Kluyveromyces lactis: one gene and its partners. The protein of the gene in region 2 purifies or fractionates together with the protein of the main gene of each other region. This does not show direct contact. Links are inferred from orthologs where the notes say so. Each region holds a gene or a part of one and is shown on either strand. Other genes may lie near its edges.

Region 1 (4,228 bases), about 950 kb from region 2:
ATCTGCAGACAGTACTGAAGAAAGTAGATTATTATCGAAAGGCGTTAAGTCCATTGACTACACCAATGGAAGACTGTTGAGCATCAGTTCATTTGTTATATGGTTGACAATTGGTTCATTGAATTGTTATCTTGTATTTTCATACCTCATGGGAGCGGACGTGCATTTTTAAGTCTAAGTAGGCATTTTATATAGTTTTGATGGATTCTGTTTAATCTATAATCAATTCGTAAATTGTACTTATTGGATCTGCTTTGTTGATCTCTTCTCTTGTACCTTTGTTGTGGTTAATTTCTTTGTTCTTTATATAATCTTTAATTGTTCTTGGACATTTACCTTCGAAAGTAATTGAGGAAGTAAAAAAATCGAAACACTGATGGTTTCAGAAAATAACTCCAAATAATAGTAACCGTTAGCTATCACTGATAATAAACTAGCCCCACAGATTATTGCACACTACCACAGCTGCGATTTATAGATTCTATACGGAAATATCTACTTCACTGCATAACTTTCTTACTTTTCTTTTTTCTAGTCGATATGGTCTTGACGACAGGAACTGATCCGGCATAATTAGTCTGAAGGACTGGGAAATGTTTCTCGTGCAATTTTGGAGATGTCACAATCTGTTTAGAAAGTAGAGCTTCTTTCAAGATGTTCTGTGCTCTATGATAAAGGGAAACTTCCTCACTTGTTGGTTTTGATATCTTGTTCAGCTTGACCCTTCTCGATTTACATGCCTTTAGCTTTAGCAATATCTCTGTCAATAACCTTTGCTGTTCACCTTGCTCAAAAGCCGTTATATCTTCATCATGTATCTCATGGCTAGGTTGCCAGTCATAAAGATTTTTCAAATTAATATTGACAGGTCCAGCTGGCTCCGTTGTCACTATTACTTCATCTCCCTCCTCATTTGTATCTTGCTCTTCATCCGTGGCAACATTCTGCTCTTCATCATTTTCATTTGATTCCTTTTTTTGGTTGTCAGATCCGATACTGTCATTTGCTTCCTCAACCTTTTGATCTTCAATACCCTCATCCTTTATTTTTTCATCTTCAACATTTTTATCTTCTGCTTCCGCAGCCCCTCTCTTCTTCGATTCTATTTCTAACCAGCTTTTGTATCCGACCTTTTCCAACCATATGTCTCCTTTACGGGAACAATCTGTTACAGACTTGAACTCCGAGATACTCGGAGCAAAAGATTGATAGTCGCCATACTCCAACCATTTAGTAGTGGGTAGCGGGTACCAATTCGGATGCAGAAAGGAGGTCATGATTTCTGTAGGAGAAATTGTTGGATCAGGAACATTGGAAGTGTTAGCTGCTACGAATCCCAATCTATTGGCTGGTTGGGATGTTGCTTGAGGAATAATTTTCACAATTTCACATTCCTCGTATGGTACTTCCTTTGGCCTCTGATCAAGTACTGACCTCGTTATCACCGAACTGAACAAATGTCCCTCCTTTGTCTGCGTATGGTAAGTTTCAGTAACGGGGAGCTGATAAACTTGACTAATTTTAAGGAAATCATTGGAAATGGTTTTTGAAAAATCACTTTCTTTGAAGTCAATGTCTGCCGCGAAGTCTCCCACCAGTTTGGCTCCAACTCTATAACATTCCCTTAGAATCAATTCTGCTGCAAATTTGTAGAATTTGTCGACCATTTGGTACGACCTCGTTCCTTGAGAGTAGTAGTGAATTAAAATGGAGCATACTAATTTAATATCATGGTAAATCCGATAAACAGAATCTTCATGCTTCTGGTAATCTCCACTAGCAAATTTATCAGATATGGAAATTGAATCAATATCTTCTGCTATTTTGATATCTGGATTTTCATCAAACTTGGCCCTTAGAAACTTCACGTAAGAATCGTATATGTGTGTTGGATCAGGCTCGTAGAATTCTTTAGGAAACCTTTCATCTAAAGCTCTGCATTTCGAAGATGCACTAATTAAATCAAAATAAAATTAATACTGTTAGTATTTGATTGTAAAATAAAATCATGCTTTGGCAAATCTAACACTGAAAACATAAAATAAAGACTTGAGGAACCCCAGGTCATCGTATGCTGGTCTTTAATTTATTATTATCACCGATTCTAGACAAAAACATGTGCGAATGCAACATAATTCGAATGAAAAATGTGTTGTTTTTATATTCACATACCCTTTTAAAACAGTTAGTAAGTTCTGAAAAAAATTCTCTTTTAGCAGCTCTACCATTGTTTACTTATTTTTAGCCCACTATAAAAGAGTTTGCAGACCTTGTACTCTCTCACTGCCCATCAGTTTGTCATTCAGCAGTAATGTAAGAAGCCTTTATTGATCAACCTGCGCCAAAACCTGTGTTTTCATTATGAAAAACATCAAAACCGTACATCATGATCCAACTGGCATCCATTGACAGCTTTTACAGAGATTCCTGTCACAGCAACAGTACCCAGTCATAGCCTAACAAGCTAGGTATTGGCCTTTAATTATTCCAATGCAATTGGTATTATATGAGTTAATTAATTCTATAAATTGTACTGGTGTAGTTCTAGGGTCTTTTCGAAGCTTGATAGTTTTTAAATGCTTTTGGAGTAAGGAATTTCTTGACCGTCCATACACCTTTCTCTTTCTCTTGATGAACAGGGATAGGATTGAGTTCCCAACCAATCTTGATGTCGCTATCATTGCAAGATCCAAATCTAGGAACAACATAGCAGAATCTTTCTGTTGGCGATAAATCAATAGGTTTCAAACCTTGTCCAGTGATTGGTTTTCCGTAAGTGAGTAACGAGCCCTTTCTTGCAACGTTAGCCAATGGCGTGCTTTTAATGTCACAAAGAGACTTCATCCTTGTTTTCGCCTTTTCATTATTTTTATTGACATGTAGTGATTGGAAAACCAAGTATTTCGGAGGTTGCTCGCCAGAATTGTTGAGAATTGAGGTTGGATGAATATAAACAAAGATATCATCCAAAGAAGATGTTTTCTCAGCAAGGACTGGAACATAAGGGATATTGAAAATGTTGGTTTTGTTGATAGTAACGTCTTCCGGGAATAACTGGTCTGCGCGAACGGCCACCTGGTCGATAAATCCTGCTGTGATCATTTGCTTGAGTAATTTGATTTGAACATCGGTGGGGATCGAGCTCTTCAAGTCTTCGTCTTTAACATTTACAGCTACATTTTCTCTCGAAGTAACTGACCTGATGATGAACATCACCTGCTTTCTCAACTTCATAATCTCCTCTACGGTTTTTGCCCTTAAGAAATTTTTTTCCATGAAAGAACTGTGCTGATCCTTTGGAATGAAATCCAACGCAGATACTGCACTTAAAAGACGGAAAACATCACTGAATTTATCAAGCTTACTAAATCTAATTTTGCTTTTAACATACTTGGAGCGCAATAGCCTTTTTCTTTCCTCAGCTTCGTGATCAGGATAGTCATCTAATTGTCCTTCATCTTGTGTCTTGGGCACAGTATCCATGATACCAAGCTCTTGTTCAGATAAAAACGGCTCACCTACTGAAAGGGCACTGACAATGGTAACAACATATTTCAAACAGTCGCTTTCATTACCAACAAGCAGCATTTTAGAAAATCTTGGACTTAGCGGAAACAAACTCATTGCTTTACCATCATCAGTGATTCTTTCATTACTGTCGAGTGCACCTAGGTGTTGTAAGAGCTTTATTGACTTCATCAAAGCTGGTCTTTCGGGTGGGGTAGGGAATGGAAAATTCACAATATTATGAACAGCCATGCTCTTCATTTGCAAAACTATACTCTCCACAGGCATTCTTAAAATTTCAGGCTTAGAAAACTGCTCAAAATCTCTTTCGAAAACTGCAGAGGAGTATAAACGATAACAATGACCAGGCCCTGTACGCCCTGCTCTACCACTTCTTTGGCCAGCAGAAGCTTTGCTAATCCAGTCAATTTCGAAACTCTGAACACCATTATTTTCATCAAACTTTCTTTCCTTTGATCTACCACAATCAACGACGTATCTTACTCCCGGTATGGTCAATGATGTTTCTGCCACATTAGTAGCAACAACACATAATCTGGAGTTTGGTGGGGGATCAAGGAAGACCTTCATTTGCTCTTTGGTGGGCAATAGCGAGTAAAGAGGAAGAACATATAGTGGATCTCTATCCGTCTGACCTTCTTCAAGTGTTTCTTCAAAACCTTCTTCTTCGTCCTCTTCTTTGTCCTCAATATCTTCCTCA
Region 2 (7,074 bases):
ATAACGTTACCTTATCAGATAACTTGATAGTTTGGAAATGTTTGGTCTTACCAGGGGTAGAAGAGACAGAAACTTTCTTGGCACCCACCAAGGCATTTATAGTGGAAGACTTACCAACGTTTGGATAACCCACTAGACCTATTTGTATGATTGGCTCTTGACCGGGCAATGGAGGAAGTAGCGGATCGTTTGGCGCTTTATCTAAGAACAATTCTTCAAGTTGATCGATCTTCAGTATGTTAATTTTATCCAGAATTTCTTTGTTCACTTCTTCCCCATCAAGTTCTTCAATTTCTTCCTCTGTAGCCAGTATTTCCTCATCGTCCTCTTCTTCAACGTATTCATCCCCTAGTTCCTCTTGTCTCTCTAATATTTCATTAGCCTTGGCAGCAGAAAAGAATGTAAAAGAGATGCCCCTCGAGAGAAGGTACTTGGCCCAAATAATACGTTGCTTTCTTGTTAATAAATCCGCTTTGTTGATCAAAAGTAAATTCTGTTTCCTGTCATCCACTTCTTTCACATATTTCTCTAAATCTGTGGATCTGAATAATAATGGATCTCTGGCATCCACGATTTGGACTACTAGATCACATCGCTCAACAACTCTCCACAACTGCCTCCAAACTTCAATGTTTCTCTCGAATGGAGTCAATAACAAATCCTCGTTGTCTTCTTGCAAATAGGCTAATTTACGTCTCCATTCCAAGAATGCTTCCTTTTCTAACCTTTCTAATTCAAATCTGGTCATAGATTCATTCCACTTAGGCCTTCTTGGGACAATCAACTCTCTAGCATGTAATCTCTGCTTCTCGTTGATCTTACTTTTCTGCTCATTGGTCAAACTAAATCCCTGGGATGTGGCTGCATCGGCACCGTTATCCATTCTGATGATCTTGACATTAGAATGTCTGTCCGCTGTGAAATCCTTGTCTGCTAACTCAGCAGTACTCAAAAATTCATCTAATGCAGATTCCTGAGTAACAGATCTCAATTTTACCCAATTAGCTTCGTGCTTATCGGTAGTGAAACGTTCTTCACCATCTGGCAAATACTGCACTTCATTTTCCTTACGTCTTGCAGTTTGAATTGCCTTACCTAACCCAATAGTGTTTTTATTCTTCCTTTGAATAGGCTTTGGACCCTTTGGAGGTTTCCACTTCTTTGTTGTTTCCTTTGGTGGCATGCTGCTAGTCCGTGTTGCTTGTAGACCTGCCGTTAACTGCTAAGATTGTTGTGCTGATGCTTTGCTTATGATGAGATGAGCTGGTTAACATATTAAAATTTTCCGCTAGTACGTAAAGTGTAAAAAAGAAATTGTGTGGTAAACCTGAACTAGAACAGATGGATGGCTCAACAATCTTTACAAAAGCACCCGCATGATGAGGATGCAGAGTACGACTCCAACATAGGTATTGCATACCACCTTAGAGGAGCGACAAAATTAGAAGTCAAGAGTTTCTGCAGAATGGAAGAAACTGCAGCTGATAAAAGGGTTACCACGCGTCTTCCTCCATGTTGCTTGTGTATTTTAAGAGAGAAATTTATCATTGTGGGTACCTATCTCTTGCATAAGGACTCAGGCAATCGAACTGGCTCTATTGAGGTTTATGATAAAGAATTGAACCTTCTTTCTAGCATAAAAACCTATGGGGCAATTTTAGATTTGAAGCTCAATCCATTCGATGATACTTTACTCGCAACAGCTCATTCAACCGGTAATATGATTCTGTGGACGATATCTGTCGACGATGATAATTCATCAATTGATATCAAACTATTGAACAACCTTCAAGTATTTGATCCCACATGTCTAATAACGTCTCTCCAGTTTTCTCCATTGCTGGATAATCTCGTACTTTTAACCACTACTAATGGGGATTTTGCTACTGTTGATATCATACATGGTGAAATATGCTTTATAGAGGAGGTGGAGCCATCGTATTTCGACTCCTCAACAATAAATTATATTGAGGTGCCAAATGCAGACATCAAAGTTATAAATGTTCAGAATGACCATGAACAAATCTTTCATTTCAAACATTCTTTGGAGTGCTGGACCGGCGAGTTCGGCTGTTTGGCTCCTTTGAAAGATGTTGTATTCACTGGTGGTGACGACTCTGCAATTGCAGCTCATGATTTGAATTCAGGCAAAAAGATCTGGTCCAATTCAAAAATTCATCAAGCTGGTGTTACGGCAATTAAGGCTGCTAGGGAGACATTTAGAGGCAACAAGCCAACAAGTTTAATCACAGGCTCTTATGATGACCATATACGATCCTTTGATCTAAGAATGCTCTCAGAAACCACAATATATCCAGGGACAGACGTCCCTGTGGTTAATAAATGGGAAGACAATTTACAGGGTGGTGTTTGGAGATTCTCGGAGGCCCCAACGAATGACGGACTGTCAAATAACAGACTTATGGTTTGTTGCATGTATAATGGTGCGAAGGTTGTCAACGTCCAAAACGATCATTTCGTGACCGAGCAGTTTATAAAAGAAGGGCATGAATCAATGTGTTACGGTGGTGATTGGAGTAAAGAAACAGTTGCAACTTGTTCTTTTTATGACAAGTCCCTACAACTTTGGAAAAGTCCAAATTAATACACATATAGTTTTAAAAGGAACGAAAAAAGCAGACGGAATTGAGACATAATTGATGTGTTCTCACTTCGCTGTTTCGATGAGCTTCAGTATGTATTCTTTTTTAAATATAGGACCATTTGTTTCATCTTATTAACGCACGTGACTTCAAGTATCTTCATCCTGCAACACCAAAACACGAAAGTTTTGGAAAAACTGGGTAAGTAATCCTTTGATCTAAAATTTAATTACTTCAGTTAATATAAAGAAAAAGACTTCAAAGATTGGTATTTTGATGAAGTAGTAGGAGCTTCATAATTTCTGATATCTGAAGCAGCAAATTTGTTTCACTGGTTCTCACGTCATTAAAGATGGATTCACCTGAGTATTTGGAGAAATTAAAACCCTTTCAAGAGGGAATTCCCAACAGCATTGCTGAGAAGAAAGAAAGATACTTGCTACCACTGCGTGATTTGGCATCAGGGAAGCGCAAATTTGATGAACAGGGAACAGTAAAGAGATTCGAACATTTGCTTGGGTTATCTACTTTATTCAGACATTTCATTGAAAGGAAAGCTGCCAAGGATCCTAGATTTAGAGAGGTATTGGACACTATTGATAATGTCAACGGCAAAGCAAATGGTAAGGGAAAGAAACATACAGATGCCCGCAGACGTAAGACTGAAAAGGAAGAGGATGCTGAACTTATGAAAGATGAAGAAGAAGAGGAAGAGGAGCTTGCTGATGTCGATTTCCAATTCAGAGAAAGTCCAGCTTATGTTAACGGACAGTTAAGACCATACCAAATCCAAGGTTTGAACTGGCTAGTAGCGTTGCACAAAAATCAACTAGCTGGTATTCTAGCAGATGAAATGGGGTTGGGTAAAACGTTACAAACCATTGCATTTTTGGGTTATCTAAGATATATTGAAAAGAAGAATGGCCCCTTCCTTGTGATAGCTCCTAAATCGACTTTAAACAACTGGCTCAGGGAAATTAATAGATGGACTCCAGAGGTAAGCGCCTTCATTCTTCAAGGTGATAAAGAGGAAAGATCTAAGCTATGTCACGATAAGCTTTTAGCATGCGATTTCGATATCTGTGTTGCATCCTATGAGATTATCATTAGAGAAAAAGCCTCCTTTAAAAAAATTGACTGGGAGTATGTTGTTATTGATGAAGCTCATAGAATTAAGAATGAAGAATCCATGCTATCCCAGGTTCTTAGAGAATTTTCCTCTCGTAACAGGTTACTTATCACTGGTACTCCGCTACAAAATAATCTTCATGAGCTTTGGGCTTTATTGAATTTCTTATTGCCTGATATTTTTGCTGACTCGGCAACCTTTGATGAATGGTTCTCTAGCGAATCATCTGAAGAGGATAAAGAAAAAGTGGTCAAACAATTGCACACTGTGCTCAGTCCCTTTTTGCTACGTCGTATCAAGAACGACGTCGAAGGTTCATTACTACCTAAAAAGGAATTGAACGTCTATGTTGGTATGTCTTCAATGCAAAAAAAGTGGTATAAACAGATTCTCGAAAAAGATATAGATGCAGTTAATGGTTCAAACGGTCAAAAGGAATCAAAAACCCGTTTGTTGAATATTGTCATGCAATTGAGAAAATGTTGCAATCATCCATACTTATTCGATGGTGCAGAACCAGGTCCTCCATACACTACTGACGAGCATTTAGTATACAATTCAGCCAAATTGAAAGTGTTGGATAAATTACTAAAAAAATTCAAGGAACAAGGCAGTCGTGTCCTAATTTTCTCTCAGATGTCTCGTGTGCTCGATATCTTGGAGGATTACTGCTATTTCCGTGAGTACGAGTACTGTAGAATCGATGGTTCTACTGCACACGAAGATAGAATCAACGCTATTGATGACTATAATGCACCAGATTCTAAGAAGTTCATATTTCTTCTAACTACTCGTGCTGGTGGGTTGGGTATCAACTTAACTACTGCAGATATTGTTGTTTTATACGATTCTGACTGGAATCCTCAAGCAGATTTGCAAGCAATGGATCGTGCGCACAGAATTGGCCAAAAAAAGCAAGTGCGGGTATTCAGATTTGTCACTGACAATAGTGTGGAAGAGAAGATTTTGGAAAGAGCTACACAGAAACTAAAATTGGATCAGTTAGTCATCCAACAAGGGCGAGTCACTAACAAGAAGAAGGAGAATAAAAATGACTCCAAAGAGGGATTACTTTCTATGATTCAGCATGGTGCTGTTGATGTCTTCAAGAGCAATGACAGTAGTGCCATGACCAGTCAAACTGGAACACCACATCCAGATGATGGGAAGGACAAGGATGAAGATGTGGATTTGGATGCCTTGCTAGCACAATCTGAAGATAAGACCAGGAGTTTGAACGCCAAGTATGCAACTTTGGGTTTGGATGAACTTCAACGATTCAACCAAGATTCTGCATATGAATGGGATGGTCAAAATTTTAAAAAGAAGGTTGAAAAGGATATCATTAACCCACTATTTATCCCACCTACGAAACGTGAACGTTCAACGAATGCTAACTATTCTGTTGATAATTATTACAAAGACGTGTTAAACCCTGGACGTAACAATCAATATACGGTTCCACCAAAGATGCCAAAATTACAACCTCTAAATAGCCACCAATTATTAAGACCACAATTAAAGGCTATTTACGAAAAGGAAAGAATGTGGATTGCAAAGAAAAACAATTATGTTCCCAACCTTGATGACGTTGTAACAACTTATGGTGACGTGAAAGATGAAGCAGAAAAGAAAGATAAACTAGAACTTCTAAAGCTATCGATTGCCAATGCAGAACCATTGACAGAAGAGGAAACTAATAATAAAATTGAATGGGAGAAAGAAGGCTTCCATAACTGGAATAAGTTGGATTTCCGTAAGTTCATTACTGCATCAGGTAAACATGGTCGTAATTCTATTCAAGCCATTGCTGCTGAATTCGGTGGTAGCAAGACAGAAGAAGAAGTGAGGGCTTATGCTAAAGCATTCTGGGCCAATCTTGAAAGAGTGGAAGACTATGAAAGATACGTGAAGAATATTGAGACGGAAGAAGAAAGAGTGAGACGAGTAAAGATGAATCAAGAAGCTCTACGTAGAAAGATCAGCCAATGCGCAAACCCACTATTTGAACTCAAGTTGAAGTTCCCACCATCTACAAACAATAAGAGAACGTTTTCCGAAGAGGAAGATAGATTTATCTTGTTGATGTTATTCAAATACGGACTTGATAGAGAGAACGTATACGAAATGATTAGGGATGAAATCAAGCACCATCCTTTGTTCGAACTTGACTTCTTTTTCCAAAGTAGAACGCCAATTGAATTACAGAGAAGAACCATCACTTTGCTCCAATGTCTAGAGAAGGAATTTAATACCGGAATTCAGAAAACAGATGAATTAAATGATCGACTAAAGAAAGAAGATGAAGAAGGTGAGAGGTTGCGGGAGAAGTTGAAAGAGGAGAACAAAGCCAGAAGGCAAGAGGAGGAAGAACAAGAAGAAGAAGAAGAAGAAAAAGAAGAAGAAGTTAATGGCACTGCAACTCAAAGAAAAGACGAAGCAACTGAAGTTGACACCGAAGTCAATGGAAACAGCCTTAATGAACCTGAACAGAAAAAGGTAAAGACAGAATAAATATCATAAACCCTTCTGAATAGAGAGAATCCATTGTATAATACTGAAATAATATAAAATTTGTTGAAAACGAAAACAGTTCCTTAGTTTTTATGCAATTTTTGATTCATTTTATCACTCTTATTATTATTATTATCATTATTTTATTATCATAGTTATTATTATTATCAGTTGGTTATATTTACTTTGAACACAGTAAATTAATTAGATATAGAATAGAATCCAACAGTTCAATGAAAAGATTTTAACAACTTCCGGAAGAGGATAGTGCAATACATTTTATAAATAGAGCAAGAATGGTAGAGTGGAGTCTGTGTTTTAATCAAATTTATTCATTCAACAATTTTTCAATAGGTTCTTCTAACGAAGATGGCTTAGTCAAAGAACTGTACCTTTCAACAACGGTACCCTTCTTGTCAACAAGGAATTTTTCAAAGTTCCATTTGATACCCTTGAAACCCAACAATCCGGATTTTTCGTTCTTCAAGAAGTCGTAGACTGGGTCAGCTTCAGAACCGTTCACATCAACCTTCTTCAAGATTGGGAAAGAAACACCGTAGTTTAGTTGACAGAACTGAGAAATCTCTTCATCAGTACCTGGCTCTTGATGTCCAAACTGGTTACATGGGAAACCCAACACAATGAACCCTTTATCCTCGTACTTCTTGTACAAAGCTTCTAGTTCCTTATATTGAGGAGTGAACCCGCACTTGGAAGCAACGTTGACAATTAAAACAACTTTACCTTCTAGCTGAGTGAATGGGAATGGTTCGCCCTTTTTGTCCTTTGGTGCTAATTCGTAAAACTTAGACATCTTGGTAATTGCTG
Region 3 (4,752 bases), on a different chromosome or scaffold from region 2:
CGTTATCCGCTATTTCCAAAGCCGCAATCTCTTTCAGTAACAATTCTCTTTTTTCAGTAACTTCGTCTTGAACTTGAGTCTTATATTGATTTAATGTCTCTATCACCGGCTCCATAACTGATTGCAACTGTTTCAGTGTTTCATGTTCTCGTTTTCCCCAGCTGTCCCACCAATTAGTCATCGAAATGAGTTGTTCAGGATCTTGCAAGAATATCCAGTCATTAGGAGTAAACAAAAGACCTTCCGGTGTCTCATCAATAATTTTTCTTTGAAGTGGCGAAAGTTCAATGAACGTATTGAAAACACCTTCTTCATTTATCAACATGATATCTCCCTCTTTATCGTAGTGGAAATAACAACCTTTCTCATCGCGATAAACATGGAAAACCTGTTTGGTGGCTTGAATTTTACCCAATTCGTTAGCTAAAGAAATCCATTGATTGTACTCTTCTTCCGTTATCTTGAAGTAGTATAGCACAGCTTCTTTGACAGGTCCTTGGATCCACAATCTATTGCTTAATAAGTGTGAAGCCTTCGAGAATATGTTCGGCCTAGGAACTCCGCAATATTCTAACCAGTAGATTTTGTTACCATATCTATCATATCCCAAGGGTTTTAGTCTTTGAAGATCAGCTTCAATCAACCTAGCATCAAAAAAGCTTTTCCTCCTTTGGAACCGTTCCAGTTGATCTGTTGCTTTTTTTAGGTTTTCTTTCAGTTCGATATTATCATTACTGCTCTCAGATTGTTGCAACTCAGAAACTGTAAATTGTTCTTTTAGTCCAGCAACAGTATTAGAACATGCTTTAAGATCCCTATTCAATCTAAACCTCTCACTTCTAATTTGGTTACAAAGTTCCATTGAATCATCCATTGCAGATCTTATTATTGATGAGTAGTTGCTCAATATTTCAACTAATATCCACATAATGTTAACTTTCTCCTCAACAGAAATATCTTTGCAAAACTTTCTCCATAAGTACCTATTCAAGGAAATATTTGACGGGGTGTGCTCAGACGGCACCAGATTTTTGATGAAGCCTTGAATTGTCGATTTATACATTGGTAAATGCATGAAGTCTTGGAGAACACCTAAGAGAACTATCAACCAGAAACCATTGTTAAATTGCCTCTTAGAAAGCCTGTCTGTCCATTTTACTTTTCGATAGTTTAAACACTTCTCTAATAACGATTCAAGATCAGCACTAACTTCGTCGTTTTCTTCCATCTCTAAATCTTCATTTTCACTCGAATTTTCGTCCGTGTCCTCCTCAAGCCACTCCGAAGGGACTAATGTCGTCCAATCCCCACTGGTGTCTATGAACAACCTTAACAGTGAACAAAAACACTCCACTATCAAGGAAGTACCTGTTATTTTCAACTCGTCCAAATAGTCATCATTTATCATAGTGTCCAAGGACAAGGTGAACTTCATTTTTTCTGAATTTGAAGAGTCAATATATTTATATATCGATTCATTCCAGATATTAATTCTTTCCACCTTAGTACCCGTACCGTCCTCATAACTAATCGTTACGTACTCGTCCATCATTTGGCGCGGATCAGTAAATCTCAAAGAATTTACAAAATCATCCCAACTAAATTCCGAAAGTTGAAGGGTCGCATTAAATGCCATTAAAAACTGATAACAATGAAGGAGTTTACCAATATCATGCGCAAATGGTTTATCGAGAGAATTTGAGATTGGCACATACTCCTTAGAGTATTTTAAAAGTGCATCGTTGATAGCTGAAGGCCTTGGTGCCATGAAAGGTATTTCCAAATCTTCAGTGATTTGCGTTATGCTTTGTTGATCGCCATTGGTTATTTGATTATTGTCGTTACTGGTATGGTCAACCGAAGGTGAGGATTCAGATATCAGTTCTTCAGTTTTTATTCTTTTCTGATCTGGTGTTTCTGTTCTAGCAATTTCAATTTCTCGTTTATGCTCACCAATGGCTGCCGAAGCTTCTCTTTCTCGATTAAGTTCCGCCATGTGTTGAAGTTGTTGCAAATACTGCGGATCTACGTAATCTTCCTTGTATTTTAGCATACTTTCTGGCCACGTTAAGGTTAAATTATAGATGGGCAAATATTCATCTTTCACACACCATGGGGCACCCATCTTAGTTGAAGCACGACGCAACGTTATCTTACAGAAACATTTAATCAAATGCTTAGTGAAACATGATCTATCACGATAAATCTGATCCTCATCGGCAACGATTGAAGTACTACCTTGTGCTTCCTGTAACATATATTTTGCATGGGCAGGAACCAATTCTTGCCTTGTATCTCTATCTATAACTGCATTAAACTGAGCCTTTTCTTTGATAATGTAAATTTTTTGATGCTGTGATCCATGTGAGTGCTGATGATGTTTTTCAGCATCGTCATGTGAGGAATCTTGCTTACTTTTCCGTAGGTATACCGTTTCTCCAGGGAAATAGTCGTTTTTAAATCTTGCATATACCTGTTCGACGAGCATATCTAGCCTTCTAATCTCGTTGAAATGGATGAATTTTGCAACAGGTTCACGTAATTTTAAAGGGAACATTTTCTCAACGTATTGGAACTGCTCTTCTTCACTGTTCAACGCTTCAAAAAAAGTTAAACATGATGTACCAGTGATCTCACAGGTGAAATAATGTCGCCTATAAAAATCCAATCGTTGCAAAAACTCTGCATAAGTCAAAAACCATTCCCCTGTCTCTTGAATGTACCATATTTTCCTATTGATATTTGACGGTAATGGCCTAGCATCTGGCAACGTTATCGTTTTCCTTTTATACAAAACCATTGCTCACACTGTGTATTCTATCCAAAAAATAAAAAGCTCAACAAGGAAACACACACCACTGAAGACTCTGTTATCCTAGCTTTCCTGCTTCAACTCAGTAAAAATTACACGCACACAGATTGGAAAGAATAAGAACAGTATGTGTTTTCTATGACCAAAAGATGTTGTCTCGTATCCACAACAATATAACTGGTGTAGAACGTACAGTTCTTGTTGTGAAATCCAAATCACCACACAAACGAACTAAAGATAAAAAACACAACAACTTTTAGGGAAACGAATGAAACAAACGACTTTTATTCGGAATCCAACCGTTGATTCATTGACCTTTGTTCTATCCTGTTCTGTTTGTGCATTTGATTGGATTTCGATTTCATTTTGATGTTCGAATTTCGATGAACGCTTTTTTTTCCATATGCCCTTGGGCCCTAGTTACTACGGCAGAGACATGTAGGAATATCTACAAAACTGACAGAATACCTTAAATTCTTAAAAATCAGATCACGTGCAGAATCACGTGATTAGATATCGACAAGGTTCAGATCATTTCTTTTTCTTACCCTGCATGAAAAATTGCATGAAGAAGCTCAACCATCTCATCTCATCTCATCGGTGAACATAAAAGATTCTAGTATCTTGAATTGAATCAAAAGGGTCACTTTAGGCCAGTTAGTTCGAATCACATTGCCTGAATACATCTTAAGACTCTCAAGCTTCAGCAATGGAACAATCGAATAAAGAACATAGGAAGCGGAAGGAGAAGGCTGGTGCCAAGAAGAAGTTACATTCTCAGGGCCACAATGCTAAGGCCTTTGCTGTCTCCGCTCCGGGGAAAATGGCTAAGCAGATGCAACGTACGGGTGATAAGAATGAGAAGAAGTTGCATGTTCCGATGGTGGATCGTACCCCAGATGATGATCCTCCTCCGATCATTATTGCTGTTGTTGGTCCTCCAGGTACCGGTAAGACTACTTTGATCAAATCGTTAGTGAGAAGGTTGACAAAGACCACTTTATCCGAAATTAACGGTCCTATTACTGTTGTTTCTGGTAAGCGTAGAAGGCTGACTTTTATCGAATGTCCTGCGGATGATTTGAATTCCATGATCGATATTTCAAAAGTGGCCGATTTGGTGCTTTTGATGATGGATGGTAATTTCGGGTTTGAAATGGAGACCATGGAATTCTTGAATTTGGCTCAACATCATGGTATGCCTCGTGTACTAGGTGTCGCTACACATTTGGATCTTTTCAAATCCCAGTCAACATTGCGTGCCTCTAAGAAATCTTTGAAACATAGGTTCTGGACCGAAGTGTATCAGGGTGCCAAGCTTTTCTACCTTTCTGGTGTTATTAACGGTCGTTATCCAGATAGAGAGATTTTGAACTTGTCAAGGTTTATAAGTGTTATGAAGTTCAGACCTTTGCAATGGAGAAACGAACATCCTTATTTATTGGCCGATAGAATATCCGATTTAACTCATCCAGAACTCTTACAATCGAAGGGTATGCATATAGATCGTAAAGTCGCCATCTATGGTTATTTACACGGTACTCCGTTACCTTCGACTCCAGGCTACAGGGTCCATATCGCCGGTGTAGGTGACTACCAGATCGATCACGTTGAGAAATTGCCTGATCCTTGTCCGACACCTTATTACCAACAGAAATTAGATGAATTTGAACGTGAACGTGCTAAGGAAGAAGGTTCCACATCAGCAACGACTGTAAGAAGACGTAAAAGATTGGATGATAAACAAAAGCTGATCTATGCTCCAATGTCTGACGTTGGTGGTTTACTTATGGATAAGGATGCCGTGTTCATTGATGTTGGCGGTAAGACAGGTCCAAACTCAATGACTGCAGAGGAAAAAGATGAAAGTGACAAGATCGTGTCCAACCTACAGGCTACATCTCGTTCCATTGATGAAAAATTCGAGAATGTTGGATTGC

Evidence for each region.
Region 1: the proteins of ISW1 (region 2) and RSC58 purify together in Saccharomyces cerevisiae (affinity purification with mass spectrometry, with the first as the bait; 3 studies listed by BioGRID). This does not show direct contact. The link is inferred for Kluyveromyces lactis from reciprocal best matches to the Saccharomyces cerevisiae genes ISW1 and RSC58.
Region 3: the proteins of ISW1 (region 2) and KLLA0_B02090g purify together in Saccharomyces cerevisiae (affinity purification with mass spectrometry, with the first as the bait; 3 studies listed by BioGRID). This does not show direct contact. The link is inferred for Kluyveromyces lactis from reciprocal best matches to the Saccharomyces cerevisiae genes ISW1 and ITC1.

Annotation. Positions count from the first base shown.
Region 1 is NC_006042.1:1,593,537-1,597,764, forward strand, and holds RSC58 (Rsc58p), read right to left. Parts: upstream 2,229-4,228; coding exon 2,173-2,228; intron 1,954-2,172; coding exon 501-1,953; downstream 1-500. Other genes in the region: putative divalent metal ion transporter SMF3, read left to right, coding at 1-172; ATP-dependent RNA helicase ECM16, read right to left, coding at 2,545-4,228. UniProt on the Saccharomyces cerevisiae protein: Component of the chromatin structure-remodeling complex (RSC), which is involved in transcription regulation and nucleosome positioning. RSC is responsible for the transfer of a histone octamer from a nucleosome core particle to naked DNA.
Region 2 is NC_006042.1:642,695-649,768, forward strand, and holds ISW1 (chromatin-remodeling ATPase ISW1), read left to right. Parts: upstream 1-2,955; coding exon 2,956-6,246; downstream 6,247-7,074. Other genes in the region: ribosome biogenesis GTPase LSG1, read right to left, coding at 1-1,183; RRT2 (diphthamide synthase), read left to right, coding at 1,346-2,605; glutathione peroxidase GPX2, read right to left, coding at 6,575-7,060. UniProt on the Saccharomyces cerevisiae protein: Catalytic component of ISW1-type complexes, which act by remodeling the chromatin by catalyzing an ATP-dependent alteration in the structure of nucleosomal DNA. They are involved in coordinating transcriptional repression, activation and elongation phases.
Region 3 is NC_006038.1:181,766-186,517, reverse strand, and holds the start of KLLA0_B02090g (uncharacterized protein), read right to left. Parts: upstream 2,801-4,752; coding exon 1-2,800. Other genes in the region: GTPase BMS1, read left to right, coding at 3,522-4,752. UniProt on the Saccharomyces cerevisiae protein: Functions as a component of the ISW2 complex, which acts in remodeling the chromatin by catalyzing an ATP-dependent alteration in the structure of nucleosomal DNA.